Linked DNA regions of Arabidopsis thaliana. The protein of the gene in region 2 interacts with the protein of the main gene of each other region in a pairwise test. Each region holds a gene or a part of one and is shown on either strand. Other genes may lie near its edges. The genes, in order: CHX6A, IRX1 and NRT1.8.

The links.
Region 1: the proteins of IRX1 (region 2) and CHX6A interact in a protein complementation assay, tested with the Arabidopsis thaliana proteins (one large-scale study listed by BioGRID).
Region 3: the proteins of IRX1 (region 2) and NRT1.8 interact in a protein complementation assay, tested with the Arabidopsis thaliana proteins (one large-scale study listed by BioGRID).

The regions. Positions count from the first base shown.
Region 1 is NC_003070.9:2,549,186-2,559,770, forward strand, and holds CHX6A (cation/H+ exchanger 6A), read right to left. Parts: upstream 6,045-10,585; 5' UTR 5,890-6,044; coding exon 5,611-5,889; intron 5,516-5,610; coding exon 4,496-5,515; intron 4,402-4,495; coding exon 3,739-4,401; intron 3,516-3,738; coding exon 3,021-3,515; 3' UTR 2,750-3,020; downstream 1-2,749. Other genes in the region: CHX6B (cation/H+ exchanger 6B), read right to left, coding at 1-65, 153-806, 900-1,916, 2,001-2,288; ATCHX5 (Cation/hydrogen exchanger family protein), read right to left, coding at 7,158-7,622, 7,722-8,381, 8,486-9,505, 9,587-9,889; AT1G08160 (Late embryogenesis abundant (LEA) hydroxyproline-rich glycoprotein family), read right to left, coding at 10,487-10,585. UniProt on the Arabidopsis thaliana protein: May operate as a cation/H(+) antiporter.
Region 2 is NC_003075.7:10,310,029-10,321,119, forward strand, and holds IRX1 (cellulose synthase family protein), read right to left. Parts: upstream 6,859-11,091; 5' UTR 6,692-6,858; coding exon 6,514-6,691; intron 6,422-6,513; coding exon 6,342-6,421; intron 6,259-6,341; coding exon 6,207-6,258; intron 6,113-6,206; coding exon 5,947-6,112; intron 5,864-5,946; coding exon 5,591-5,863; intron 5,500-5,590; coding exon 5,154-5,499; intron 5,058-5,153; coding exon 4,920-5,057; intron 4,848-4,919; coding exon 4,722-4,847; intron 4,655-4,721; coding exon 4,442-4,654; intron 4,360-4,441; coding exon 3,916-4,359; intron 3,843-3,915; coding exon 3,489-3,842; intron 3,406-3,488; coding exon 2,818-3,405; 3' UTR 2,596-2,817; downstream 1-2,595. Other genes in the region: MYB98 (myb domain protein 98), read left to right, coding at 1,040-1,716, 1,854-1,980, 2,050-2,529; NRAMP5 (NRAMP metal ion transporter family protein), read right to left, coding at 7,757-7,981, 8,057-8,709, 8,790-8,926, 9,055-9,632; RABA1d (RAB GTPase homolog A1D), read right to left, coding at 10,128-10,551, 11,091-11,091.
Region 3 is NC_003075.7:11,514,280-11,524,010, forward strand, and holds NRT1.8 (NITRATE TRANSPORTER 1.8), read right to left. Parts: upstream 5,527-9,731; 5' UTR 5,298-5,526; coding exon 5,180-5,297; intron 5,080-5,179; coding exon 4,862-5,079; intron 4,781-4,861; coding exon 4,227-4,780; intron 4,141-4,226; coding exon 3,261-4,140; 3' UTR 3,074-3,260; downstream 1-3,073. Other genes in the region: CPL1 (C-terminal domain phosphatase-like 1), read left to right, coding at 1-448, 549-612, 696-826, 900-953, 1,100-1,196, 1,655-1,869, 1,973-2,059, 2,256-2,321 and 2 more. UniProt on the Arabidopsis thaliana protein: Low-affinity nitrate transporter. Involved in nitrate removal from xylem sap. Not involved in oligopeptides transport.

The DNA.
Region 1 (10,585 bases), on a different chromosome or scaffold from region 2:
CTCATGTGGTCAGCTAATGCCAGGGCCTCTTTGTCGTCATTCCCACCCACGTAAATCAAGCACACCTGCATTTAATGTATGAAAATAAAAAATATTCAACATCATTTAGAATAAACAAAAAAAAACAAAAAAAAAAGAATGTAGTTACTTACACGGCACGGAGATTCTAGGGCTTTGGTTTGCCAAATTGGTTTGCGATAAACAAAGATTCCGACAGAACAAGGGGCGCGTTTCAGAACATTAAGATTAAGACTTCTTAGGGTTTGATCGTCTGAGATAATGACATTTCCGTTAGGCTCCCAAGTGCGGTGAAACGAGAGGAGAATAAGATTGGAACCTTGACTAAGAGCAAACCAACATATTTGTTCATGCATCTCTTTAGCGGAAGTTAAAGACGTGAACATGTTTATGGAAGCGGAGTCCCAATAAACCTCTTGAAACAGTTGGAAAGAGCTTATGACATTTTCGGAATAAGACCGACTTCCAGGCTTTGGTTTTTGAAGCTGGTGGGAGATAAACGTGGGAGTAGCTTGACCCAATAACTCTATTAGGTGAAGAACACAACATTCCATTGGAGAGTCTTTAGATGGGGAAGTTGCTCTAAGAAGGCTAATCATCGATGTTATGTTGTCAGGCTTGTTGATGCACACCAGCGTTTGCATTTCTGGCTTCTCTTTCAAGTTTCTTCTTCCGTAACACACAAATCTCTTAGACCGGTCATACAGGAAATGTATAGCCATTGGTGTTAACAAAGAGTTTACGAGAATGTATACGCCCAGGAGCGACAAGACCTCCAGACTAATCCTCTGTTAAAAATGAGAAACATTAAAACAGAAATATATATACAAATTAAGATGATCATCATATCCGTTATATGAGTATAGCTAAAATATTCTTACGTCTTTTTCGAAGGCTGTAAGTACGTAACCCAACTCGAAACTACTCTTGGTGCCCATAATGACACCTAGGATAATTGAGTCTCTCAAAGGTATCTTTGTAGCTAAGGCGGCTAAAAACGAAGTAGCGAATTTCGCTATGTATACGATGGGAAGGAAGGAAAAACACTCGTACATATGTCCATGGAGATGCCTTCCATTTCCAAACTCCTTTCGTAGAAATGACCAATCTAGTTTGATCATGCTAAGTGATCCAAAGAGGGGTAAAAAAATGCCCTCGTTGAAGCTATCGAATTTTTGTATAAATACTGATCCTAATGGCGGCCCGTTAGGGACAGCCAAACCAAGAGCAAATGCCCCTAGCGGTCCGAAGAATAAGAAGCGGCTCCAATAAAGATAAGATAAGTAAGCAAGCAAGAGACCAATGTAGAGATAGACGTTCTTCACCGGGGCTCCTTCTGGCGTATGTCTTATAACCCAAAGCATAAATTGTCGCACAAGGTACACAAAAATAAAGAATGCCATAAAAGCTAATCCCATTTTCACTCCTTGAGTTTCATCACGGCTAACGTAAGCCGATACAGTCAAGAAAAAGGCAAGCAAATCTGTTACCATTCCCGCTGACTGAGCTATTTGGCCGAAATCAGTGTGAACTATCTTGAGGTCAGTAAGCAACATGTTGACGCAAGTGAAAGGCGTCATGCTCATTGTGAATGTCATTACGGTATACTCCATTTCTGTCATGGTCAGAATACTTGATTTCTCTCTAGATGAATAAAGGAGTTTTCCTATTTGCCATGGGATGATCATTGAGGTGATCCCAATTACAACACTCTTAGTTCCTGACTTTTTCATTATTCCAACATCTGTAGTCACTCCCCTTAGAAACCAATCTAGGACAAAAGCAAATGCGCCTATAGTATCAGGAACCTTTGTCATATACTGGTTATAATGGATAAATATATGCTTTAAACATGGTATTTGCATAGATCCAAACATCTCACTTAAGACTGCTCCGACCTTCAAGAACAAGAAAAGAAAATGTGTTATATTATTCGAACATCCCCAATGACATGCGGATATTTGAAACCCGTAATTACGTACAAGCATCATGGAGGTGAACTTGGGGATAGGAACACCTAACTTCTTGAACAACATATCAAATAAACGCCATAATAGGAATATGGAGAGAATAATGATCTCCAATTGTGGAAGAGGGTACTCCCAAAAATCCATTCCCTTAGATCCGGAAGCCATTTTCTCTGCAACGCCATGTGAGTTCAACATTATATGTGGACTTACATCGCAAAACATCTTCGTCCCCATCTCTGCTCTTTTCTCATCGTTGTTCCACATGAACTCTTTGCGCCAAGTCGCATTTTCTGCATCCATTTGGGACAAATCTTGTCTACGTAAAACCAAAAAGAACAAAAAAAAAAATTGACAATGAAAAGATTTTGCAGTCAAAAAAAGAACTAAAATTAAAACCGGTCTGATGGTTTCACACAGATCCCAAAGGATCTCTAAAATTAGGATAAGGGTATAAATATAGGGATTGTCTCGTCCAGGTGTTGTCTTTGTTTTTGGCGCTTGTAAGTTGTATTACTTTAAAATAAAATGACCTCTTTAGGCAGTCTAAATAAACGCTTTACCCATTTTTAATAAGATGATCCATTAATTAAGACCTCAAATTCAATCTTTTATCAAAGGGAACAGAGCAGAGTACTCTGTTAGGTACCAAAATCTCTTTTTGTTGAGAAAAACAGAGTATTTTGCTCTGTTCCCTCTGATATCTCTAACACATACTAAACTTAATTATAACGTGACAAAGTGTGTATGTTAAACAGACCCTGTTACTACAAGAGAATATATATTTTTGAATTGTGATAACAAAGGCAGCTATAGTTGGAAGGCGTTATCATAGAGCAGGCACTGCCACAAGAAATTACTCTAATCTTGTTAACTCAAAATTTGATTAAAAAAATCGTGAAGTTTATATCATCATATCCAGAAGAAACTCGAATCAATTACTCCATAACTTCAAGCAGCCTAAAACTAATGTTTATTGATGTAGAGAAATACAACATTGAAAAGCTGAGCATTGAACATATCTCGCATTATTTCTTAGAAAGATTTTCTCCTTTGGCTTTTTGTATGATGAATGTACACTTGTTTTTGAACAACCAACACTGATGCACTTGAAGGATATTCATGTGATGCTAATAAATCTCCAATAGGTCCCAATTCATTGAACTCTGTCCATTCACTAATTCCGCTAGTAGCCTCAGTTCCTATTCCGCTGCCGCTTCCAACGATAAACAAGTCATAATCATTTGCCATTGCTCGTAAGATTCTTGAGGTCTCAGATCCATCAGAAACCGCCTTATCGATATATGTCACCTTGGCATCATTTTCTTTGATGTTGGACCCAACGATGCTAGTCACGGACTCCTTTAGGTTAATCGATTGCTGTTGCTCCCACTCATCGTTATCCATTTCAGAAGATTTTGGAATGAATCTTATGATCGTTAGCCTTGTTCGTTTTTCTGTCAGTCTCATTCGATTTGTTATCGCCAAAGCTTCTCTATCGTCTTTTCCACCGTTAAAAATCAAACATATCTGCAAAGATGAGAGTTTTATCAGGTTAAAAATGCTAATATATTAGTACCATTTCTTTTGTTCATCATAAATGGTAAAGGAAAATGAAAAGATTTTCTTTCAGCATTTAATTTCATTTAGACGTTGCAAAAATATTCTTTTAGATTTTATAAAATTCTGAAATTTGTATTTTCACGTACCCAAACGGATAATTAATTAGTTTTCAAAATAAAATGAAAAGCACCTTGCTGTGGGACTTAGCCATATGAGATTCAACGATGGGCTTGCGATAGACGAAGATTCCAACAGAGCATGGGGCTCGTCTCAGGACGTTAACGTTGAGCATTCTCAGATTATCATCGTTGGAGATAACCGTGGATCGATCAACGGACCAGGTTCGGTGGAAAGGAAGCACAATCAAAGATAGGCTTCTGGATAGGGCTAGCCAACAAATGTCCTCATGCATGTGTTGGGACACGGAGACGGAAGTGAAAATATCCAACGATGTGTATTCAAAGAATTGTCTTTGGAAGCCACGGAAGGAGATTATGACATTGTCAGACAGAGAAGTACTTCCGGGCTCTGGTTTTTGCAACTGGTGGGAAATGAACATAGGATTGGCTTGACCCACAAGCTCGACGAGGTGAAGTATGTTACACGCCATTGGGGAATCTTGTGATGGGCTAAAAGTTTCCAAGAGGTCGGTCATGGAAGTTATGTGATCAGGTCTGTAGACGCACATAAGACATTGGAGAGCCGCACCGTCTTTCAAGATGCCCAAATTCCTTTTTCGGTAGCATCTGAATCTTTTGGTTGGGTCATGCACGAGCTCCAAGAGCATTGGTATAAAGATAGAGTTCAAGAGGGTGTAGGCAGCTAGGATTGTGAAAACCTCTGGCCTTATTAGCTGTGAAACATGTCCAAAGATTTGATTAATTTTTATGAAAATAAACTAATTCTTCTGACTTTAAATATATATAGAAGAGTTTAATTGTACGCACCTTTAATTCAACCGCGTACGTGTAGTAGGCGAGCTCGAAGATCCCCTTATTACTAAGCACAAGGGCTAAAGCAAAAGAGTCTCTCAAGGGCATTTTAAAAGCATACGCGGTTATGGTGGTAACAACGAATTTTGTGGTATTCACCAAAAGAATAAAGGAAATGACCTCATAGATTTGACCCTCCATCCGTATTAAATCTCCACTCTCTTTGAACAACCGTAAGAGATCTACTTGCATCATGGTTAATGATCCAAAGAGTGGCAAAATAGAGCCAAGATTAAAGCTCTCAAACTTTTGAATCAAAGTAGTACCTAAAGGATATCCATTTGGAACCGTCAAGCCGAAAACAAATGATCCCGCGGGTCCAAAAAGATGAATAACCTTGTTAAAAAAAGTGAAGCAGGCGAAAGCAATCCCAAAAATCGAGTAGAGGTAGAAATCCTTGACCGGCCTCCCTTCTGGAGTCTGCTTGATCACCCAATACATAGCCGGCCGCACAACGCATATCATAACGACGACAAAGAGGCAGAAACCTACGGTTTGCATGAAGCCGTACAATTTTTCGTAGTAGATTGCATTAAAAAATGTTACACCAAAAGCCAACATGTCAGTCACCATAGCCCCAGAGAGGGCTATCCTCCCAAACTCTGAGTGTTTGATCTGGAGGTCTTTTAGGAGTGTGTCGATGCTCGTGAACGCGGATATGCTTTGCAAGAATATGATCAACCTGTATTCCATCCTTAATATGCTTGAGTCCCCTCTTCGTTCTCTATATCTAAAAGTGAGGCTGCCACAAATCAAGGGTATAATTACTGTAATGAATCCGATCACACTAGACCTTTTCTCCGTCCTAAATGGCAATTCGGCATCCATGGTCACACCTTTGAGGAACCAATATAAAACGAAGCCGAAAGCCCCTAGGGTCTCGGCCACCTTTGGTCGGTTATCATCAGGGAAAAAAATGTCATGGATCCAAGACTTGTTGCTGAAATGGCAAGTTTGACCTAAAATTATCCCTGCCTTCAACAACAAGGCATTACAACGTTTAGGAATATGCACCGTACTGATTTTAAAATTTAAAACGTGGAGGGAAGAGGGAGATTAAGAAAACTCACGATCATCATATATGTGAATCTAGGTACTCGAAGACCAATTTTGTTGAATGAGATGTCGAGAAGCCGCCATATAAAAAAAGTAGAAAAGATTAAGATCTCGAGATTCGGGAGCGGATATTCCCAGAAGTTCATCCCTCTCTTGAAAGTCATAACCTCCCATATCCCGTGCGAATTTACTATGTGAGGGTGTGACTCGCAGAAGATAGACGAGTTCTTGTCTTCATTGAATTCTCCCCATGACACGTCCCAATAACTCATGTCTATCTCCTCTGTAGCCATTTTAAGGAGAAAGACAAAAGTTAACGAAGAGACTTGCTTAGGGATCAAGAAGATCTAATGGAATGATTTAGGGTTTGTAATTCGATTGGGAAAGAAGAAGACTAGGGATGGTTTTGTTATAAACGTTGACTAATTAAGGTCGAATAACCAGCAAACAACAGATACGCATCTCAGGTACAGTTAATATTTACCCATTTTGTTTTCTTTTTATAGCTTCATTCTTCTCCATCTCTTGTTCCTTGTCAACATTAGCACACGTATGATTGTACATCGTCTATTTCACCAATCAACAACGCCAAAGCTATACATATAACGATATATATTTAGGGAATTTTGCATCCACTTGCACACTTTCTCAGGGATATATATATTTTTGTTTTGACAATTTTTTCTATGTTTGGTGAAATAGGAACTTATACTTTAAAATCACCATACAAATTAAGTCATTCAAACAGCTAAGCATGCAAATTAAACCAAATAATATAGCAAAGGAAAATGGATACTAAAAGAGTCTTACTAATCAAGGCAGGGTAAGATAAATAACAATATAAACTAAAGAATATTGTACCTAGGTCAGGATACCAAATTACTCTCTTATAAAATTTCTCCAAATTCAAAATTACTAATTAATGCTTGAACCCTACGTATACGTAAAGCATAATCACAGGATTAAGATTCTTCCAAGTAGTTAGGCATTAAATATTCATTGGCTAGTCGTATTTGTGGTCTTAAGACTATAAAGAAATGAGAACAAGTGTAAATCACCTACAAACCATTTTGAACTCAATTCCTATTGGTTGGTAATAGATTCCTCTAAAGGTTTTAATTGGGTAATTTCATTGAATGTATACTACGTGCGTGAAATTCTCATCATTTTTAATGATCAAATTGGTGGCAAGTAGGTCTTTTAAGACTATATACTAATTTGCTATGTAATTTATTTGTCTAGTTTGCTTATTTTTGCCGTTTTTCTTTATTGTATAGCGAAAAGGAGATTAAAACTTGTAAAACATGTAAATAGATGTAACTCTCACATTGAATGTTAATTTAATTATAAAACATGTACTATTTTTTTCTGATTTCATTGTTTTTAAAAAATTATGTGGAATCAATTAAATTTAAAGTCATATTTGCAAATGTTATCATCACAAGGCCACGGAGACGAACTGTCACTTAAAAATTTGGGGCTACAAATGTGTCTCGTGTGAGAAGTGTATTTCTATTTTTTGTATCTTATAAATGAATAAAGAGTAGTTGCCAATGTAATATCATCTACAAGCTACATTCTGTTGTTGTTGCACCACCAACACCGACCCTCTACGGGGAAAATCTTGAGACACCAACAGATCTCCAATCACACCTAACTCATCAAACTCCGTCCACTCACTCAATGCACTCACCACGTCGGTCCCTACTCCGGCGCTCCTCCCCACCACGAATAAATCAAAAGAATTAGCAATCGAGAGAAGGAGTGTTGATGTGTCGGAACCGTCGTTAACTGTCTCCTCTACGTATTCCACAAAACTATGTTGTCCAACAGTATTGTTATTGTTCCTCAGAACCTCCTTAACCTCTGCCGAGTCCAGCATCTGATCCCACCCTGTAGTCATCCCATCCATTTTCGCTGGGATTAGCTTCAACACTGTCAGGTTCACATTCGGATTCCTCATCATTTGCCTTCCCAATGCCAAGGCTTCTCTGTCGTCTTTCCCGCCCACGAAAATTGCGCAGACCTGGTTTTAGACAAATCAAGTTTCACACGTAAACACAAATTCAAGCACGGAAACTAATGATTAGCGTATGGAACAATCAAACCTTCAAATATGTGTTACCTCAAAAGACGGACTGCTCTTTTGCGCAGATAAAAGCTTTTGACGATGGACAAAGATCCCCACGGAGCAAGGTGCTTGTCTCAAGACATTTAAGTTAGCGTTCCTACGCATGACATCGTCTGAGACCACCGTTGTCTGGTCAAGGGACCATATAATGTGGAAAGGGAGCATGAGAAAAGAAGCTTGTTTGTCGAGAGCGAGCGAGTAAATCTCTTGATGCATGTACCTAGGGTTTGAGATGCATGTGAACAATTCCAGCGATATCGATTTCCAGTAATGTTTGAAGTTATCAAAAGCGATTAGGACGTTGTTTGAATAAGACCGGTTTCCAGGTTCGGCTTTTTGCATTTGGTGGGAGATAAAGACTGGATTGTCTAAACCCACAAGCTCGACGAGGTGAATCACGTAGCAACTTATTGTGGATTCATGTAGAGGAAAAGACTGTGCTAGAAGGTTGATCATCCCTGAGATGTGGTCTGCTTTGTGAATGCACACTAGAAACTTCAGCTCTGATCCAAGCTTCAAGCTCATTAGATTCCGCTTCTGGAAACTAATGAATCGTTTTGACGAATCATATAGGTAATGTATCAACACTGGTGATATCGTAGAGCTCACTAAAATCATCGTTGCCATAATCGTGAAGGACTTCACATGAAGAACCTGTAACACAACAAAATAATCTTATAAGACAGAAAGAAAAAAAAAAACATTAAGTGTTGGAGAGTTGAATTGTCTTGAATATAAAGTTAAATATGGGAACTCACATTGCTTTCAACTCCATACAGAAAATAACACAGCTCAACAATTCCTTTGTTGCTGAGGATGAGTGCCATAACGAAAGAGTCGGTCAGAGGCATTTTGGCTAGCAATGCAGGAATCATTGAGAAGATAATCTTGGCGACAAAGACAACGATGATGATGGTCAAGGCTTCATACAACTGACCGTCAAAATGCCTTAGTTGACCGATCTGGTTAGCTAACCAAGGTCCATCGATTTGCAGCATTGAGAAGAACAAGAAAAGTGGCAAAAGGATTCCAGTGTTAAAGCTTTCAAACTTTTCTACCAGTTGAGACCCTAGAGGAGGACCGTGAGGCACACACAAACCCAAAAGGAAGGGTCCAACAGCCGGAAACATGTGAATTTCCTTCAAAAAGTAGTAACCACCGAAGGCTAAAATGAGTATGATGTAGATGAAGCATTCCTTCACCGGTCTCTCTTGTGGTGTCCGTTTGATCACCCAAAACATGGCCGGTCTCACAACCCAAACCATGAATATGACATATCCGATAATTCCTACGCCTTGCAGCGCAGAAACCCTCCAGTCCATCCAAGCCACAAGGGCAAATAGATTAACACCAAAACCCGTTCCATCCGCCACCATAGCGGTCGAAATCACGATCCTGCCGAACTCTGAGTGGTTGATCCGGAGATCCCTTAATAGCCTTGAGATACCCGTGAATGCCGAGATGCTCTGCATGAATAAAATTGTTCTGTACTCCATTCCTGTCAAGTATTTCCCCCCGGTCTCTCTTAGCTTACCAAACACCATGTTGGCCGCGATAATGGGGAGAATAACAGTGGCAATTCCTGTTACAATCACTTTCGTACCTGTCTTCCTAACCATCCCAACATCCATTTTAACACCTTCGATGAACCAATAAAAGACAAAAGCGAACCCACCTAGCGTCTCAGGCACTTTTGGCCTAGTATCATCCGGGAATAAAATGTGCTGGATCGTCCAGTCATTCGGCAAAAGATTCGTTTGGCTCAAAGCTGCCCCGGCCTTCAACATAATTTTCCGATCAATCAGTCAATGCAAACAACTTTTATACAAAAGAACAAAAGAGGAAGAAAGGGTTCTTACAATCATCATGGAGGTGATCTTTGGCACAGGGAGGCCTATCTTCTTTAGGGATAAATAAAAAAACTGCCATAAACAGAGAACTAGGACGATTACGCTCTCGAGATGGGGAAGACTGTAGTCCCATATCTTCATCCCGCGTATAGGTAAATCTAGCTTCTCCCACACGCCAAAAGAGTTCACAAGAATCGGTATTTGTTCGCAGAACTTGGACCCGTCTTCACTAAAGCCATATCCATGATATGAGAAATCCCCCCAGAAGGTTGCGTTGTATGCCCCCTCATATGCCTCGTTACGCGACTCCATTTCTCCTAGATTCTTTTTCTTCTCAAGAGAAGAAAAAGATCAAGAGAAAGAGATTTACAGTTTCCAGAAAAAATTACAAAATCTTGGTGTTACATTGTCTTATTAGAAGAAATTAACACTACTAAAAATAGTTGATAATCTTTGTCTCTCTCTATTTTTTTTTTTTATCTTGTTGTTGTTAACTGTCTGTTTACGTACCTGGCGACTAATTTATATGTTTGTTTTACCTCTCTGCTTATTTAAGAACCTCCATCAATTTGTGTCTATCCAAGTTTTGTTAGAGATCCCGACATATACGGATTTTGCATGTAATCTTACGTTATAAAAATCTTGATGAAGTTATTAAATCGTCATATATTATTAGAAATAAAAATCGAATCACTTACAGAGCAATAAAAATGTAAAGCATTTTAAGCCCAAAAAAATAAAAAATATAATAATTAATGATGAAAAGAAAAGAGAAATGGAATGACTGGCAGAAAAGAACAAAACCAAAGAGGAAATTTAAAAAGGAAAAACACACACACAATCAATCAATGTCACATATAGCAAATTTTGCACACAAATGAAACCAATTCAAGATGAGGATAAATCAAACTAAAGACGAGTTTTGCATAACACTCTCTGGAATCCATCCAACGAGCTTGATGTAACGTTGATCATTACCGGCGTACACACAGCCTTCAACGTACGTCT
Region 2 (11,091 bases):
CCTTATGCATTGAGGTGGGGACAAGAAGAATATCATAGGAATCATATTTTTTTGTAACCCCCATACATGAATTAATAAGGGAGGTCTTTTAAAAAGTTTTCGGACAGAACTCAGATTTAGGCAGAAAAAAGAAATACATGCATGAACTAAAGAACTAAGAAGTTGTACACTGCAAGAAACACCATTAGAGTCACACTGTTAACACTTTGTTATAAACGATGCGGTTTTTGAGTTTTTTTTTTGTTTCACTTTGGTCAGAGACTTTTTGTGAGGGTTTACTTCTAGAAGACGGAGTGAACAAAATGAAAATTAGACCTTAGAGCTAATATGGTCAATACACTCATTGTCCTTCGGCATTTAAAATGGTAATTACATTTTTGTTGACTAAATTAATACTACACTTTATGATAAATTAACTAAAGACAACTAAATATACAATAAATGAGTCATTTACACATTAAAAACTAGATTTAATTCATACTAGCGTTTTCACAAACATTCAACTATGTTTACCCCAAATTCAACAACACCTAATGTGTAACGTCAACAAAGATTATTATCTCACATTTTCTAACTTGATTTTCAATCTAATTATATTTCTATCAAAATATGTTAAAAGAAATAATTAATTTGAACTATTTTTAGTAATACCTCTAAAAATCTAACTAGGATAAAAAAAAAAAAAAATCTCATTGTAAACTAACTTCGAAATTAATTTTCTTAATTTTACCTCACTTTCATGTTGAGATATGATTTAAGAAAAACACAAAAATGGCTAAGCATTTAAGAAATAATTTAAAAAAATAATTAATTAATTTAATATATACAAAATCACACTAATGCTACCAACAAACTACAAACGTTAGATTTCAATCCATAACAAATTTATGGGTATAGTAAAAACACACATTAAATGTCTTTTCTTTCTTCTCCTACCTTACAAATACGAGAAAGAACAAAGCTAACACAAAATCGGAAAAAGACTTCACTTTTTTTTTTTTACTAATTAATTAGTTTTTTTTTTCTCCTTTCCAAAACAATGGAGAATTTCGTCGACGAGAATGGTTTTGCTTCTCTAAACCAAAACATCTTCACACGTGATCAAGAACACATGAAAGAAGAAGATTTTCCATTCGAAGTCGTCGACCAATCAAAACCTACAAGCTTTCTTCAAGATTTTCACCATCTTGATCATGATCATCAGTTTGATCATCATCATCATCATGGCTCCTCATCTTCACATCCTTTGCTCAGCGTCCAAACTACGTCTTCTTGTATCAATAATGCTCCTTTCGAGCATTGCTCTTACCAAGAAAACATGGTCGATTTCTATGAAACTAAACCAAATTTGATGAATCATCATCATTTCCAAGCAGTGGAAAACTCATACTTCACTCGTAATCATCATCATCATCAAGAGATCAATTTGGTCGATGAACATGATGATCCTATGGACTTGGAGCAAAACAACATGATGATGATGAGGATGATCCCTTTTGATTACCCTCCTACAGAGACTTTCAAACCTATGAACTTCGTAATGCCAGATGAAATTTCATGTGTTTCTGCAGATAATGATTGTTATAGAGCAACAAGTTTCAACAAGACCAAACCATTTCTTACACGAAAGTTGTCTTCTTCTTCTTCATCATCATCATGGAAAGAAACCAAAAAGTCAACCTTAGTCAAAGGACAATGGACTGCTGAAGAAGACAGGTTCGTTATTAACACAAGAAACCTCAAGAATCAATTAACATAATCAAGACTTTTGATGATTACACTATTCTAGAGGTTTTTACTATAGTCACCCGTTTTTGCTTGTAAATGAAGTTTTCTTGTTTTGGATAATATAGGGTACTGATTCAACTCGTGGAGAAGTATGGATTGCGTAAATGGTCGCATATCGCTCAAGTGTTACCGGGAAGAATCGGGAAACAATGTAGAGAGAGGTGGCATAACCATTTGAGACCTGACATTAAGGTATTTTACTAGTAGCTATAAGATCATGTATTGATGATTATGGAACCTAAAAGATAAAGATTGTTGCAGAAAGAAACATGGAGTGAAGAAGAGGACAGAGTGTTGATAGAATTTCACAAAGAGATTGGAAACAAATGGGCAGAGATTGCGAAAAGACTCCCGGGAAGAACAGAGAACTCGATCAAGAACCATTGGAACGCAACAAAAAGAAGACAATTCTCTAAAAGAAAATGTAGATCTAAGTATCCAAGACCTTCTCTGTTGCAGGATTACATCAAGAGCTTGAATATGGGAGCTTTGATGGCTTCTTCTGTTCCTGCAAGAGGTAGACGCAGAGAGAGTAATAACAAGAAGAAGGATGTTGTTGTTGCGGTTGAGGAGAAGAAGAAGGAAGAGGAGGTGTATGGACAAGACAGGATTGTGCCTGAATGTGTGTTTACTGATGATTTTGGATTCAATGAGAAGCTGCTTGAGGAAGGATGTAGCATTGACTCTTTGCTTGATGACATTCCTCAGCCTGACATTGATGCTTTTGTTCATGGACTCTGATTTGTATTTTTTATTCTGCTTGTTTCAGTTTTGTTGTTTTTTGTTTGTCTTTTTATACGAGACAGATTCCACCAAACTTCAATAATTTGAAAAGATATAAAATATTTTGCTTTTTAAAAACATGTTGATGTTGAAACAATAGAAACCTAACTTGCGGAACCCGCCAAGACTTGTTGCTAAAATAAGAACATTACTTAACTTGTGGCTCAAGCAACCATATGAAAATTTATAAAACAACCAAAACACATATGATCAATCTTTCAAAATACAAACATAACGTATCTTCTCTTAGCAATCGATCAAAAGACAGTTCAGAGAAAGGGAAGTCGTATCGGTTTTGGAGACGAAAGGATTGATACGAACCCAAACAAGTGAAAACACAGAAGCAAGCAAGATAGACCAGAGAATAACAATAGTAGGTGTTCTGTTTTGTCTTCCCATAAGACCTTTGAGGAATGGATAAAGATGAAGAATCACCCAAAAGGCGAAAAATACCTTCCCAAACAAAGGTCCCCAAGCTTCATAACCTTTGTTAAGAGCGTCAGAGAATCCAGCAACAACTCCGACCAAGTTGATTATAAGAAGTGACGTCGGAGGGATCAAGAGAGTTGTCCATTTGACAATGTAAAGCTCACCGAATTCTAAATCATCTGCGGTTTTCGATGTGACTGTGAAATTTGTGTCGAGACCAGCGAGCATTTTGAGGAATCCTTGGAAAACGGCAAAGAGATGAGCTGAGACACCTCCAATAACCCAAAACTGTTCGTTTCTCCATAAGTCTTCGATACTGACTCCGCTCCATCGAAGCTCGAGGACACTCGTTAAGATGATTGATATAAAGAGACCTAGAAACAGCATGCTTGCTAGGTTTGATAGCTGCAATAAAGAACAGAAACAAAGATCAAATTCTCAATCTTGCTGTAACCTAACCAAAGTAATTAGTAGTATGAAAAAGTTACCGTTGGGATGATAAATTTGCCGGTAAGAAGGCAAATAGCTGGAAGAGTACAGTAAGCAACAAGAGGCAAAGAAGTGAATGGGTAGACAATAGTGTTTATATAAGCTAATCTCTGGAGCAACTTGAGGCGGCCTCCGCTGCAACCGTACCACAAAGGACAATGTCGGCTAAGGAAGATCTCAACCGAGCCAAGAGCCCAACGTAGAACCTGGTGAAGCCTATCTGATAGATTGATTGGAGCAGATCCTTTAAATGCTGGTCTTAATGGCATACAGTAAATCGACCTCCATCCACGACAATGCATCTTGAAACCCGTCAAAATGTCTTCGGTGATCGACCCGTAAATCCATCCTATCTGCGAAAACAGAACGAAAGGTTATAAAATGTACTCACAAGAGAACTTTGATATGAAGAAACAAGGCACTTACTTCTTTTCCCCATTCAGTTTTCTCTTCGTATCCACAGCTAATGACATGAATAGCTTCTTTGATGAGCGTTGACGGGTTTACAGAGTCGGGAACACCGCCATTCTCCATAAGAGTAGACTCGATGAAAACCGTAGAGAGACCAAACGTTTTCTCAAAGCTTGTTTGTGAAATCAGCATCGATCTGTCGTACTCATCGTAGTTGTCTAGGTCCCCAAGATTAAAGATTGCAGCATCAAGTTCTTCTCGCTTTGCATCTTTGTAAATCTCGGAAGGATCTTGAGGTTGTTTCTTCTTGGTTAGACAGCAACACGACGATGATGAAGATTGCGGTAAAATCCTCGGTTTTGAAGGTGGACTGTATCCGTAAAGTGCTTGTCTTCTAAAGACAGTACCTGTACCAACATAAACTGGACCTTGAATCCCATCAAGCCCTCTCATATTAACCTGAAAACATCATATCAAAACCACAAAATATCATAAGAAATCTCAAAACTTTGCTTGAAGTTATGAGTATGAGATAACTTACATCGAAGAAAACAATGTTGCGGTTAGCATATCGATCACTCTTGTCGATTCCATCAAATCTCTGTGGGAACTGAACAAAGCAAACGTCTTGACCAACAACAGGATCCATTAAAAAGCACATTGCTTCACGCACGGCTTTGCTATTGTTGACGTAGTGATCACAATCAAGGTTAAGAATGAATGGAGCATTCGTTAAAACCGCAGACACCCTCACCTACAAAGAACAAAATCATTAGGATTGTGCTAAATTGAACGATAAAAGAAAAAGTTTTGAAGTTTACCAATGCGTTCTCTGCCCCGGCCTTTTTGTGATGCTGATAACCAGGTCTCTTCTCTCTAGAGACGTAAACTAATCTTGGAAGTTCATTTCCTTCAATGTCGCGAGCACCGCTATATCCAAGAAAAACCTGCAAGAAAGAAATTACGTGACTAACAAGAAAAGACAGAGCATTTCAGGTCAAATGTTTTAGCTAGCAAACCTGAATCATCCCGGGATGGTCACGAGTGTTGTTCCCGGGCCAAGATGTTCCATCTTGCATTGTCCATCCTTCTTCTGGTGTCTTTTGAGCCTTGGCGACTAAAGCATTCATTCTTATTTTAAACTCTTCATAATCTCTCTACAAGAAGAGAAATTAGACATTAAGTTTTCGATTCAATCATCGGTTAACGCTATATGAGATTAATTTAAGGTTTTAAAGCCCTTGCTTACTTACTTTCATGGCTCTACGTTCTTTCACAAAAGAAGGTTGAACTTTATCCCTCAAGTAATCGATTTTAAGCGAGAAGTAAAACTCGGGAGCTCGTGGCTCGATGGAGTACTTTTTGCAGAAAGGTACCCATTTCCTAGCAAAATCTGCTGTCTCAACCAAAGACTCAAACGAAAGCATTGCAGCACCATCATCAGATACATAGCAAGAGACTTTATCCACCGGATAATCAAGCGCGAGGATCGAAAGAACCGTGTTTGCAGTTATCAAAGGTGGCTCCTTTAATGGATCTACCGTACTAACAAAGAAATCTACAGCTGCAAGCTGTGATTGCTCGCCTTCTCTTTCGAATCTGCATAGTTTTGATAAATGGTTTCATAAAACTTAAAGATTGGTAGTAACTGCGCAGATTAAGCATATAACGGTTATAAAACATTTGTAACCTTGCGGATAACCGGTCGATGTAAGTTTCTCGGTTAATAGGAGACCATTTAGGGAACTGATCCAACACCCAAGAAACAGCAAACCAAATCTCACATATCACAGATGTTAGCCATAAACCGTAAGCGCTATCGACAGGATGCGTGATACGGTAGTTAAAAAACAGAGCCAAGATGATCAACCGCATGATGATGACAATCCTATATGAAGTGATTTTTGTCCTTGGGATAGGAATCACAACCGAAAGCACATCTGTAGCACCAGATTCTGTGTTCCTGAGAATACAAACGGCAGAGACCAAATCAACGTCTCAAACTTTTTGGTGAATGTTATTAGATTAGTACGAGGATGTGCTTACGGTGGCGTATCTTCCATGTGCTGTTGGGTAGGAATCTGAGCCTCATGTTGTTCAGCTTTTGTTGCTTTTGGATCTTTCTTCTTCTTCTTGCTCTTCTTGTCTTTCTTGTCTTTCCAGCTCTCCACTCTGTTCTTCCAAATTGGATTGCCATATTCATCATTCAGTTCTTCAGGAAGAAACAACAATCCCCAAGTTAGTTAAACTATTAATAACCTCACCAAATGTATACAAAGATTTTGGCTTTGTTTCTTAGTTCTTACCACTGTCTATTGTTGAGACTGTACTTATATGTCTAGCATGAATCCCTGAATCCTGAAAAAGTCAAGATAATGTTCTCAAATTTGTAAAATCTAATTAAGACATAAAAGCAACTAATCTTAGCTAAGCACACAAACCTGAGAAGTGTTATTGGTCTGTGTTGGAACAATGGATTGAGTTTTAGATGTCTTTGTCTCAACATCATCAAACACATTCTCTATGAAAGCAAAACAAAACAAAACAAGTTATAAATACTCTTTAACCAAAAAATCAAACTTTCGAATAAAGTTTGTAAATTTATAATTGTACCATCGTAAGGATTGCCGCAACGCAAGCAAATTCTTCGACCTTCTTTGAATTCATACTCAAGACAAGCTTTGCAGATCGGGAAACTACACTCATGACAAGCCACAAAGAACTCTCCGTTTGATTTTACACCAATCTCTTCACCACAAGTGTTGCAGATGGGAGACCTAGACTCCATCATCTTCGAATTCCCCTGTTTGGAGAAACAGAGAAATGAACCCTAATTAGGGATTGAGATTTGGATGGATAACAAGTTTGAGAAGCCATGAGAGTGGAGGTTTTGTAATAAGAGGAAAAAAAGTTATTAAAAAAAGTTTGGTGGATTGTGAAAAATCGGAAGTTGAGAAGTTTCTTTCACTGGTTTTCTGAGAAAGCTGATGGGTAAGCTAAATTTGGAGCTTTTTTGAAATGATTTTGCGGGAAAGTGAAGGAAAGTTTTAGTTGAGAGGAGTGACACATGTTCTTTGTCTCTAACCAGCGGCAGATACTAGCTTGCTTGCCTCCTAAGCGTCACCGTACTTTCTATATCAAGCTAACATTGAAGTTGTTATATCCGGTTTATTCGGGTCGGGTTATTCACCATTGAAGTTGTTATAATTTTTAAGTAAATCTTTTCAATCACCAACTTTCTATAAGAAAAATAAGAATTAAAATCACTTTTTTGAATCAAATTAATTTTAGCATTAAAATATTTAAATTTATAGTGTAAACAATTATTTAAGACATAAAATTAAAATTTATAGTTAAAATTATAAGACACATATGTATCTAAAAAAAATATTTAGTTTTTTTTTTATTTAGGTAAATGACAATTTGTGACAAATATTAAAGTCTTAAACCTAAAATTTTAATTGTCTTTGTCAGAAGAGAATTTTCACCGTTTACTACTAAAGAAAACACTCGTCATTTGGTTTAATATCTCTAATCTCTATAACAATTTGAGCTTTAGCTGTACCAAAAATAAATTTTGAGATATAATATCACTTCTCTAATTTTGTTTCTGCTTAATCACTTCTCTGTTCATTAACGTTTTTTGCATAATTCTACTCTACATTTGCAATGTTAGAACAAATCAATCTACACTCTTAACCAATTCAGTCTTTGCATCATCACATCTGAGTTTCCTCTGGTCTACTGTCTCAAATAAAACCGTTGACCAAATACAGCAAAACCATCCATCAAATTCGACCTTCTGATTTTGCTCAGATAAGTTGTAAGGGTTGAAGAATACTAAAGTTATGGGTTTCTACGTCTCTGTGGAAACAACTCTCTCTGACATTTCTAAACTCGACCAGGAAGAAGATTGTGAGCTTCTATAAGAAACAAGATAGATGATGAAACTGATGTATCCAACTACTCCACCAAAAACCAGAAACCCAACAAGAAACCCTTCCACTTCAGCCATGAAGAAATCTAGAAGAAGATACCCATTTATCATCATCACAAACACCGCCACAGTCCAAGCTAGCTTCTGCAAAGATCCCAACTAACTCGTTACAATCAAAAGCACATAACAATAAAGAGAGATGACAAAAAATTGCTTTACCTCAAGCGAAGGTCCGATCTTGAAGACACCCATGATATGTTCATTAGAAACCATAGTCAAAAGAGGAATAACCGCGAAAGGAATCTGCATCGACTGAAGAATGTTAAGCCATTCGTTTAAAACATCGAGCGAGCCCTCGGATGTGTTAAACATAATAGCAACAAACATAGTAGGTACAATAGCAAAGCTTCTCGTTATAAAAGCTGATAGCCATTGTTCCATTTGAAGATCTAAGAACCCTTCCATTATAAACTGTCCAGCATAAGTCCCGGTTATAGTACTGCTTTGTCCAGCAGCTAATAAACCAATCCCCCAAATGTATAGTATCGGGAAAACACCACCGCCATATTTCTCTTGTAGGTAATATCCCGCGTTAACCAGTCCTATACTATCAGCTTGTTTGGTTCCATAAAACCCTTTCGCGAAAACCGCAGTTACAAACAAATTGATCATGAACGAAACAAAAAGCGCGGCTGACGATTCGATTGTATAGTAGTTAAGAGCTTCTTGAACTCTGTTTATCTCCTTTGGATCCGTCTTCCTAGACTGCACTAAAGCTGAATGCAAGAACACATTGTGAGGCGTTATTACACATCCCACAACTCCAACAGCTTCTCTAATCGTCTTTGATCCGAGTTTCGGAATAATAATACCTTTCAAAATCATCATCAAGATAAAACCAAATCAAGAAATGACATCAAATAAGAGACAATGCTTAATCTTACAAACTTACCTATGAATAGTTCTTCAACACTTGGCTTAGTTTCATTAAACATCCAAGCGAACGAAAGCGCCATTGTCGCAATCAAAACCGCGAAAAGACCTTCTAATTTCCTCATTCCACATTTCTCCAAATACGAAATCAAGAAGCTGTTTTTTCACAAACAACACAAATCAAAACTTGTGTTACAAACAACACCGCAAAAAGACCTATTTTGTTTTTTAATAACTCAGGTGATCCTAAAGGCGTTCTAAGCCAAAGACCTAGTTTTGCTTACCAATCAAATGATGTGATGATAACACCAACCCAAATAGGTAAAAACCCTCGAGTCAAAATCTGAAGAGCGATCGCGCTTCCGATGACTTCTTGAATATCAGCTCCGATCAAAGCAACCTCCGCCATGAACCAAAGCAAGATTCGCGCCCACGAAGGATACTCACTTCGACAAATCTCCGCTAAATGTCGACCCGTGGCGACACCGATACGAGCAGAGAGAAGCTGCATCAGAAGTCCCATTAGCGTCGCCCATAGAAGAAGCCATAGGAGAGAGTAACCAGCCACAGCTCCGGCTTGTAAATCTCCTTCGATATTTCCTGGATCTAGAAACGCGATGCTCATGAGAAATCCAGGTCCGGTGAATTTCCATAGCTTTGCCCATGAGAATGGCGGAACTGAATCGTAGGTTTTGTCTCTGTCTTCTTCTACGTTCAGGATCTGATTCTCCGGTGGCGATTCGTGAAGCTCGTCCTCCTCTGGCTGAGAGGTTTCGGGAACTAATAGACGTTTGAATTCGCCGTTACTGTCGTTTGGTCTCTTAGGGCTGTTTTCTTGGCGGGAAACGGTGGATCCCGTCATCTTAGTAACGGAATATTCTTTCGGCGTTACTGACGACGTGATTTGTTTTAAGAAAATTTTAAAAGATTACATGGATTATTTTGATAAAATTAAAATTAAAGTCAAGAATAGTCAAATGAGAAAACAAAAGCAAATTCTAAAAATGAACTGTTATTAAAAGTTTCTATTATTAGAAACTGAATTGTGATCTCTATTTTTTTGACGAAAATTTTCTAAATTGGTATAACAAAAATTAGTTGTGTTCAAGGATTAGCACAATAAATATTGGTTTAGAGATATTTGCGGATTGAATTAAAAACAAACCATAGACCAGAACCGGTTAAATTACAAAATCCCTTAACCGGTACAGAATCAGACCAAAGCTAAGCAATTTTCAAACAAGCAAATCAAAAGGCATAACATAGTTTGTTTTCCTAAAAAAAAGCAAACATCTTCAAAAACAAAATTTGAATGTAAAATTTAAAAACCGATTTCAGCTTTAGGACATAAGACCATTTAGTTGGAGCAGCAACCAGTTTTCTTCACTGCGGAAACATCAACATCGATCTTCTCTCCTTTCGAAGGAACATTACCGGAATCTTCACCAGCCTCCATTGCTTTCTTGCTCACAACATGGTAAATCTGAGTGAGTACTTCAGAAAACGCGTTCTCAACATTGGTAGATTCAAGAGCTGAGGTTTCCATGAAGTAGAGTGATTCATTCTCTGCAAAAGATTTTGCATCTTCGGTTTGGACTGCTACAAGATGGCGAAGATCGGATTTGTTTCCCACAAGCATCACAACTATGTTTGGGTCAGTGTGGTCACGGAGTTCCCTTAGCCATCTCTCAACGTTTTCGAATGTTGAGTGTCGGGTTACGTCGTAAACAAGAAGCGCCCCAACAGCTCCTCGATAGTAAGCACTAGTGATTGCTCGGTATCTAAAAATAGCGAAAAGAGGAGAAACAAAAACCCGTTAACGACTTAGTCATTGAAACTCTGTTAAATTAGAAAGATAGGAACATAATAAGAACCGAAATGACAAGAAAGACTTCAAAGCAATAAGCTCTTCAGCTTCAATGGTAGAAAACGATCATTAAAGAAATCGATATCGTCATCAGAATTAACGAACATATAGAAACACCATGAACATATACGATACCGAAGATTATCATCAACCACTGGTTGATCAAACTAATCAGCAAAACAACAGAATTTCTACAAAGCTGGTAACTTTAAGCATAATTGTTGAGTTCTCTCATTATACACAAATACAATGTACACTTCACCTCCAGTAATTATATACACGATCACAGGTTAGGTTGATTTCTCAAGCTTTCTCTACGATAAACTGATTCCATTAACTAAGACAGATCTAATGAAATTGTATTGACTCCACAATGCATCAGAAGGCCAATACCTAAAACACAGATCGAGAAATGAACAAATGAAGACAAAATCAAAGAGACGGAGCTTAAACC
Region 3 (9,731 bases), 1.2 Mb from region 2:
TCCAAGTATTCCATTTCAACAACCTCAACAACCGACATCAATAGCTAAACACTTGGTTCCTTCAGAACCAAGCTTGCAGAGTTCTCCTGCTAGAGAGGAAGGTGAGGTACCTGAATCAGAATTAGATCCAGATACTAGGAGGAGACTCCTCATATTGCAGCATGGACAAGATACTAGGGATCCTGCTCCAAGTGAACCTTCATTTCCTCAGAGACCTCCAGTTCAAGCTCCACCCTCACATGTGCAATCAAGAAATGGCTGGTTTCCTGTTGAGGAGGAGATGGATCCTGCTCAAATTCGTCGAGCAGTCTCAAAAGAATATCCGTTGGATTCTGAAATGATTCATATGGAAAAGCACAGGCCTCGTCATCCATCATTTTTTTCTAAGATTGATAACTCAACTCAGTCTGACAGGATGCTTCATGAGAATCGCAGGCCGCCAAAGGAGGTACCACTAATCTTATTTAACCTATGATTTTACAGTTGTCAGTTTTTTTGGTCTTTATACTGCTGTACGACGTTTAGTGCTCACTGTGATATATTTGCAGTCTCTCCGGAGAGATGAACAGTTACGTTCAAATAACAATCTACCTGACTCTCATCCTTTCTATGGTAAGCCATCAAAGTTATTTGTTCTTGTATCATTTTGTTCTGAAGATAAATCACTGACTTGGGTATTGGGATGGACTCTCTAGGGGAGGATGCGTCTTGGAATCAATCTTCCTCTAGGAACAGTGATCTTGACTTCCTACCTGAACGAAGTGTCTCAGCAACGGAGACTTCAGCTGATGTTCTACACGGAATTGCTATCAAATGTGGAGCTAAGGTATGTAAATATCATCATGATTACCATTAATTCCATACGTGAGTTGATGTGTTATTATTCCATGACATTGTAGGTGGAGTACAAACCAAGTTTAGTTTCTAGTACAGATTTGCGGTTCTCTGTTGAGGTACGTATTGCTCTTAGACGTATCTGTTTGTATGGTGTCAGTAATTTTGGTGGAACCTTATGCTCTTTGAGATCCTATATTTCCTTTGAGTGAGGTTACTTTGTTGATTGTGTCAACTGTACATTAAATCTATGTTTTTTTTGCAGGCTTGGCTTTCTAATCAAAAAATTGGAGAAGGGATTGGCAAATCGAGAAGAGAAGCCCTGCATAAGGCTGCTGAAGCTTCTATACAGAATTTAGCTGGTAAGACTTTCTGACTCATGATTTACTCGTGTCTTAATCTTTGTCTGCAGAGATACTATTTGAGATAGATTGTTTGAATCTGCTATATTGGGTGAATGTTATTTGTTTGATGTTTCTAAACCATCTTCACAATATTGGGTGTAGATCTCAATTTTTCAACCAATCTGTTTAGTCTGTAATATTAATAGATCTATTGTAGCTTCGTGTTGGTCCTCATAAATGGGTTTATATCAATGAGTATGAGTACTGCCACCACAAACGGTTGCGTGTCAGTATGTTATGATATCAAAACTGTGGGTCCCTTCCCTTTACAAGGGTGAGAGCTATCTTGGATTTGTGGCAGTTGGCTCAGGTTTAATATTGGTCGGCTTCATTCACATTGTTCTTATAATGAGGCTTTAAACTCATTGTTGTTCGTTTGTTTCCAGTTTCTTGAGTTCTTACTCCTTTTTTTGCAGATGGATATATGCGTGCAAATGGTGACCCAGGGCCCAGCCACAGAGATGCTACCCCCTTCACCAATGAAAATATAAGTATGGGAAACGCAAATGCGCTTAATAATCAGCCATTTGCTAGAGATGAAACAGCGTTGCCAGTTTCTTCTAGACCTACAGATCCGAGATTAGAAGGTTCTATGAGGCACACTGGCTCCATTACTGCACTCAGGGAATTGGTATGTATCTCCTTAGTGCGGATACTGTTGATTGATATGGTTGCTTGCTTACATTCACATATTGTTTTTTCTCATCTTTGATTCATCTGTAACCAAATTCCAGTGTGCATCGGAGGGTCTTGAGATGGCTTTTCAATCTCAGCGTCAGCTTCCATCTGACATGGTCCACAGAGATGAATTACATGCTCAGGTTCGCACCCCTAAAAGATTAGAACACAGAAGTGTTAAATTTTTTAAAAAAAAAATCTAAGATAGACAATTTTCAGTTAAAAGAGAAAGATTCATGATTTTCTCTTCAGGGCCATCAGTATATTTCATATCTATTCAATTGGTTTGAAGTATCTAGAGTGTAGACCCCTCTTGATACTCTTTGTAATATATTTCAGGTTGAAATAGATGGGCGTGTTGTAGGGGAAGGAGTTGGATCGACATGGGACGAAGCTAGAATGCAGGTAACTCAACTAAATTCTTGCCTCGGGTTTATTCTGATCCCATCTTTTCCCTTCTCTGACGTTCTTACCTTTAGGCTGCTGAGAGAGCACTGTCCAGTGTGAGATCAATGCTTGGTCAACCTCTGCATAAACGACAAGGATCTCCACGGTTTGTTCTTGACTATATCTATATGATTATCAAAATAAAAATGTCAGTTGATATATTTTAAAAACCGGTTTCTTGTTGATGTTTAGATCATTTGGTGGGATGTCAAACAAGCGATTAAAGCCGGACTTTCAACGGTCTCTGCAACGGATGCCATCTTCGGGAAGATACTCTTAAAAATAAAACCATGTGAAGAACGAACCACATTCTACATTAATTCCATTCTCTTGGTAAAAACAGCTACCAAGACGAATTCTTTGTCAAGTTCCTTTCTTCGCCAAATGATGATCAAGACAGCGAGAGTTGCCTCTCTTGTATTGATGTAACAACAATTTGAGGCGGTTCGCGATTTTTGTATCATAGAAACTCTTGAGTTGAAGCATCAGCTCGAGTGGCCACAAAGATAAGACCTAAGGATGAACGTTTAGCTTGTTCTCAGGCTGTTAAGTTTCCACAAAGCTTTTTCTGCAGTTTCCATAGTTAACAGTCCTTGTTTTCACTACAACATTAAGAGCTTGATTTAATATTGTAAATTTTTACTGTTCTACTAGTAAGTGTTTAGGTTTTGACTGATTCAAAGGTTATGAGAAAAGTTACATAAACTATGTGTTGGAACTGTGGAATCAACTTATCCTTTATTGAGAAACATCAACTAAACTTTGCACAAGAGTATAACCCAAAAATAAAAACACAATAAGACCAGTTTATATCACAGAACAAGCTCAGCTTTAAACAAATTACTGTAAAAAGCTTCACAGCATTAAAATAAAACACAAAACTCTCTAGCTCCTGACTCAGACTTCCTCCTCTTCAGTTACGGACTCAGAGAAACTTGCTTCAGATTTAATATACTTGTACCATTTGGCACAAATCAAGTAAACCACGAAATCAGCAGCGGTTAGACCAGCTAAAAGGAAGTAGAATCTCTCCAAGTGTCCTTTGTTGAGATTTTCAGGAATCCAGCCATGCACATCATCTGTTGTAGAGATCTTCATGACAATGGAAACTAACAAACTGCTTACATAGTTCCCAAGAGATATTGAAGCCATACATAGCGCGCTTGCAAAGCTCTTTAGCCCGGTTGGTGCTTGGCTGTTGAAGAACTCGAGTTGACCAACGTACATGAACACTTCTGATGCACCTATCAACATGTACTGAGGTACTTGCCAAAAAATGCTCAAAGTGCTGGAGCTTGAGATCGAAGTAGCACTTTCCGGTTCCTTATTTTTCAGTCTGTGTATCTCTACGATTCCTGCGGAAATCATCGCCATTATCGCAATCACAAGCCCAATCCCCATCCTCTGAAGCTCAGTGAGACCTTTGTTGCGTTCTGTTTTGTTAAGTCTTGCAAAGAGTGGATCAAGAAACCGCCTGTATGCGAAGATGAAGAAGGCGACACTGAGAATGTCGAAACTAGACATGCTTGAAGCTGGAATCCGGAAGTTTTTGATGTTTGTCTTCATCGCTGCTCCTTGCACAACGAACAGTGAAGCCATTTGGGTGAAAACCACAGAGTAGAGGATGGTGCAGAGCCAGATTGGTAAGAGTCTTAATACACATTTCACTTCTTCGACTTGAGTCACCGAGCAGAGCCTCCATGGATCGTATTTCGATCCGCTCTCTACTTTCTCAGCCTCATCATCAGGTGTAACAATAGCAGCTCTATCCAAGAATCTGTAGAAAATAATAGAGAGAGAGTTAACACTGATCTTGACGATGGTTTCTGAGATTATAACAGAACTTTTAATTGGTTATCTTACCTGAAGCCTTTGGTATGAAGAATCTTCTTATCTCCAGTGTATTGAGTCTCAGAATCATAGAGATTCAACTCTTCATGGTGCACATCAATCTTAGCCTTTCTTGTTGCAGCAACCAACACTTGGCAGAATCTAGACCAAGGACTCTCTCTAGGCGTAAAGTGTCGGTACTTTGGCGTGCCAATCAAGAAAAGCACTAACCCCGCAAAAGCAGAGCCAGCAGACGCCCAAAATCCAAGCGGCCATTCCCCTTGATCCTCAAAGTAACCCAAGACAGTATTTGAGAAGAGCGATCCAAGATTCAGAGCCAAGTAAAAGTAACTGAAAAACGCGATTTTCGAGTGTCCTTCAACGGAATCCTCCGCATCAAACTGATCAGCTCCAAAAGTAGCTATGTTCGGCTGATAACCACCATACCCTAACGCGATTAGATACACCGACAGATAAAACAGAACCGTCTTAAACGTCGAATGAGGCTTACACGGCGAATCTTCAACTCCACAACCACTTGGTTCAAGCAATAACGCACCAGTAGATAAAGATAACATCATCAACCCCTATAATCCATTAAAACATGTTAACTTATTGTTAAAGAAACAAACCCTAGAAAAAGACAGAGCAGTGTTGAAGACACTTACTGCAACGAAACTTGCTTGAAAGATAGCACAAGTCTTGTAACGTCCCCAATAAGAGTCACTGAGGAAAGCACCAAGCAAAGAGAAGATATAGACAGTTCCTGTCCATTTACTAACATTATTAGCCGCTTCTGCATTGTCTTGTCCCATCACTCGAGTCAGAAACAGAACCAAATTCACTCCTACACCGAAGAACGCAAGCGTAGCTAGTCCTTGATTCACTATATCAACCAAAAACCCATTTCTTTAGAATCCAAAACACAACACTTTAAGACAAAGAACAGTGGTATATATAGAGAGAAAGAGAGAGAGAATCATTACCTAGAATGAGAATAGCAGTGAGCCATTTGCCGGTATTAGCTCGGATAGCTGGATTGCCGTGACGATCAACGCTACCGTCTTGAGTGCAAACCTCAAACTGTCTAACTTTTTGATCCATAGATTCGATTTGGTGTAGAGATATACTCAAAAAGATTCCTTATCTTGATGATCCTAATGATTATGATGATTATCCAGAGACCGGTTAAAGAGGAAACCGGTGGTTAGAGAACAAAAGGATCGAAAACTCAGGAATCGAGGAAAGTGAAGAAGTGAAAAGAGAAAGATATTTAATAGTGATATTGAGAGTTGCATTAAAAGTGTGAAGAAGAGAGCTTATATTTATAGAGAGCTCAGAAATTGAGTCAGAGAACTCAGAAGAGATCCTTTCTTTGACGTCTCTTTCTTTCTATGGTGTTTAATTTAATCAATTTAATTGTAAAGGTTTTGAAACGGGCTGCTAAAATATATGTTCGGTGGATTTTTCTCGACAGAATTTTGTTATCTCAATAATAATCATATGCTATTTTAATTTTTTAACTAGTTTTTATGAATAAAAATTAAAAGAGATAAATCTAAATGATCTTTTTCGTTCTAAAATATTTATTTAATACGAAAAGTAGTTATGTAAAAATTTTAATTTGAAGAGAATCTGACTTTGTGGGAAAAAAACGGAAATGCCACTGTTATATGCGAATAAAACCATAAATTACGGTATAGGAACTTAAAACGTAGTATTGAAAATTGGCATCCCTAAAATCTATGAAGAAGGAGAAACACCTGGTTAAAGGTAAGCCAAGCGAATGTGTGACCAGTTACACCTGGAGGGCTGCTGGAAGAGACTGATAAAATCAAAAAACATGAGGGAAAATAAAAAGAGTAAAAACCCCAAATAATTGTTCTTAAATAGGAAAAAAAAAAGAGGGGAAAAAGTGAAAGTAAGAAAGTTCCCCACTAAAACAGGATTTGGTGTCTCTTTCAAGCACGCTACGCTCGTGTGTAGCTGTATTCGATTACGACTTTCCTCACTCCTAACTTATATTATAATTGGTTCTATTCTTAATCCATGTTTAAGCCCTAATTTAAGTCTAAATCTTTGATACGTTTTGGTAATTTTCTTTTTGTTGTGTTAGATCCTTTTCTGTGTCTCACATATACTATGTTTTTATCTTTCTTTCTGATTTTTTTTTGTGAACAGAATTGTTTATCTTTCAAAAATAGGATTATATTTGATTTCATATTTGGATGGATAAATACAAACATGTTTGGTATTTGGCAATCCAAACTTTAATTTATACCAATTCGCTGATTGGTTAATTATGAAACCTAGATAAGTGAAAATATGAAATACATCTAAATCTTCTATAGTATTTTACGCAAATCTTATCTGTCGAATTAATGTCTAGATTCATTGAAGCTTGGGGATATTTACAAATTCCAGCTTTTTTACCTAAGAAAGTTAGACCTAAATCTGAATCGAACAATCTAAATTAATACACATTGTGTCAAAAAAATTTGGATCGAAGTTTTAATGATCACGAAAGAACTATGTTCTAGACTTCTAGTAATGTCCTATAACTTTGTTACGTCCTACTAAATTAAGTTAATTAACCATTCACAAGATACTACGTGCATCTTGGTTAAGAACAAGTTTAGGTTTAAAAAAAAAAAATGTTTAGGTTTAAATACTAAATGTAGAACAGTGGTAGTTTTGAACGGACATACCTTGATTTAGGTTTTGATATGGATGATCGGCAGTTGAAGTGTTAATATCGCCTGATTAAAATCCAATTTGTCCACGACAATTTACTAAGCAATACAAAGTCGTTCTCTTTATATATATATTTGTGTTGCATAAATCAAAATTCAATCATAACAACAAATAAAAATATATAATCAAAATCCAACACCTTATTTTAATAGGACTCAAATATGAGTTATAAATTCCTGATTCCCTGAGGATTTAGAGTTACAGTATATATATGAAATATTTCACTTAAGTTTATTTACTCTTCTCATTAGAGTACTTTTCAATTTAAAGTCTATTTACTCTCATGATTAGAATTAGTTCATGAAATCTTTACAAGTCTCAATGATGTAATATAACTATTTGGTTTATCGTGTCTTTGAACTTAAAATCAGACTAATATCTAAATATCTCTAAATCATCACGTAAAGTATGTGATGCGTATACTTGTATGTGAACATGGTAAATGGTTGTGCTGTATTGGAAGGAAAGTTTGGACTATACCATTTGAATAACTATGCGATTATATCATATATCAAAAGTTAATTTACGCCTAACCAATAAATTTTTTTTAAAATGCGAATATGATATAATGTAATATAACCCAACACGGATCCAACCAATCCGACTCGTAAACTTTTTGCCCACCACATCAGTAAGGAAATTTATTCAAAATGGTTAGTTAGATACCGGATATATATAATCTATATCATAAGCTCATGTAAGACATATTCATCATCGCTTCAATGCAATGATATAAAGTGGGTAGTATAACTAGAACAGATTATTACAAGTTAGCAAGAATAAGTTGATCACATATACGATATCTTGTAAACAAACAAAACACGATATTAAGGAACACGTAATAATAATTTGGTTTAATTTCCGCCTGTTTTCGAGCTGACAAATGAAAGAAAAAACTCAAAAGAAACACGCTAAAGGCTTCTCACGAAATTAACGTGGACCATAAGACAAAATGCCAACCACCAACTTATATATAACGACAAAAATAGTAATATATTATTTCGTGAAAAAGACTAACAAGTGACGTTCTTTTTTAATTGATATATATTTTGAGGTATGCTAATTAAGCAGCCAATTTGAGGAGGATTCAAGTGGCAACTTGAAGGATGTTGTCGTCTGCAAGCTGTTCTCCAAAAATACGTTGAATATTTTTTAAATTCACCCAACCAAGAAGCTTTATGTCTTCCAACGAAAACGACCTTCAAAAATCAAATTTCTATAGACTAACCTTTTTGCAAAAAAAATATTCCTCAATTGACTAATGTTGTGGCTAAAAAGTTAAGCTAGTAATAGGCTAAGTTTTTATATAGTGTTAATATGGTTTTCATTTTTAATGTAAACCTTTTTATATAAATACGATTAAATAACATGCAAATCTGATTTTGAATAGTGTAATACAATTGACATTAACCAGTATGCGATACGTTCTGCTATTAATGTATAGTATTACTCTCAGAATAAATATCACATTGACATGGTACAACGTTAATTCCCATGTAAATAAATGTATAATGTATAGTTTTTCTGGCGTCATATTTATATATTTGTTACCAACTACGATTTTGGTCGATCTTTAAAAGAAAAATATCTCTTGTACTAAAGTGCTCGGCTACTACGTGGAAACTGCAAGAACGATAAGAACAAAAGTGGCAGCTTTGACTTTTGATTCCACAACTCAAACTTTGCTTGCATTTGCAATTTGGCATTTCGGCTAACAGCTCTCTAAATAAGTAATCAATATGTAATTAGTTGTTAAACCACGGGATTAAGACAAGCGCTCATCATGGTCTATATATTATAAGCGCTTTCAATTATCTATCCCGTTTTATATATCGCTTATCAACTTTATCAGAATATATAAACCCAATTTGCATAAAGTCTAGCGAACCAAGCAAGTTGCTTCTCAGTTATTTTATTTAACTTTCTTATTTTCCACATTGTTTGAATATTTTGTAGTTAGAGATGACTCTAGTGACATTAAGTGCTACTTAGAATATCCTTCCGATCTTAGGTAAGCCATGACATATATCACATATATATGATAAGAATTTTTATAAGAACCCTTGTTATGAAGAACAGAAGAAGGTTTGTCTATTAATTATCAATCTGAATTATAATGCATTAATCAGATGTAAAGATTTACCGTACGCATAAACCATATAATTATCTCAAGTGTAAACGGTAGCAACAAAATTGTATCGCAAGACTAACATACCTTTTTAATACTATTAAGTCTATAACAAACAAAGTAGCATTAATTGATGATTTCGTAAAACTAAACGACGTGGTTTAAAGGGTCTACATAATTAAAATATTTTGTTCTTGAACTTTTCTACACAGAGTAGTTCAAAATAGTACGTTATAATATCATGGGGCTGTGAAAGAGTTATAAGCTGTCATTTGGAATAATATACGAACTTGCTTGTACATGTGTTGTGGACAGATTTAATATAATTATCGAAACATGAAAGACTTTGTTCCCAGCAACTTGGAGATTAGATGTATGAAAATAAAATCAAATGATATAAGAGAGAGCTTATATCAAGCAAAAACGACGTTGTTGTGGTTATCGTTAGTGACTGGAGCTAAAAATTGAGAATAACCACTTGTTCAATATTAAACATTCACACATATGTAGTTTATGAAGTCCATAGATAAGTACTGTTTTATAGATTTCAAAGATAAGAATAAAAAAAAATGGCTGACGTCTCGACTTCATTAATTGTTGTTTTCATTCGGTGAATATATATAATCACGAGTAGAAAGTCGAAACAAATTCAAATT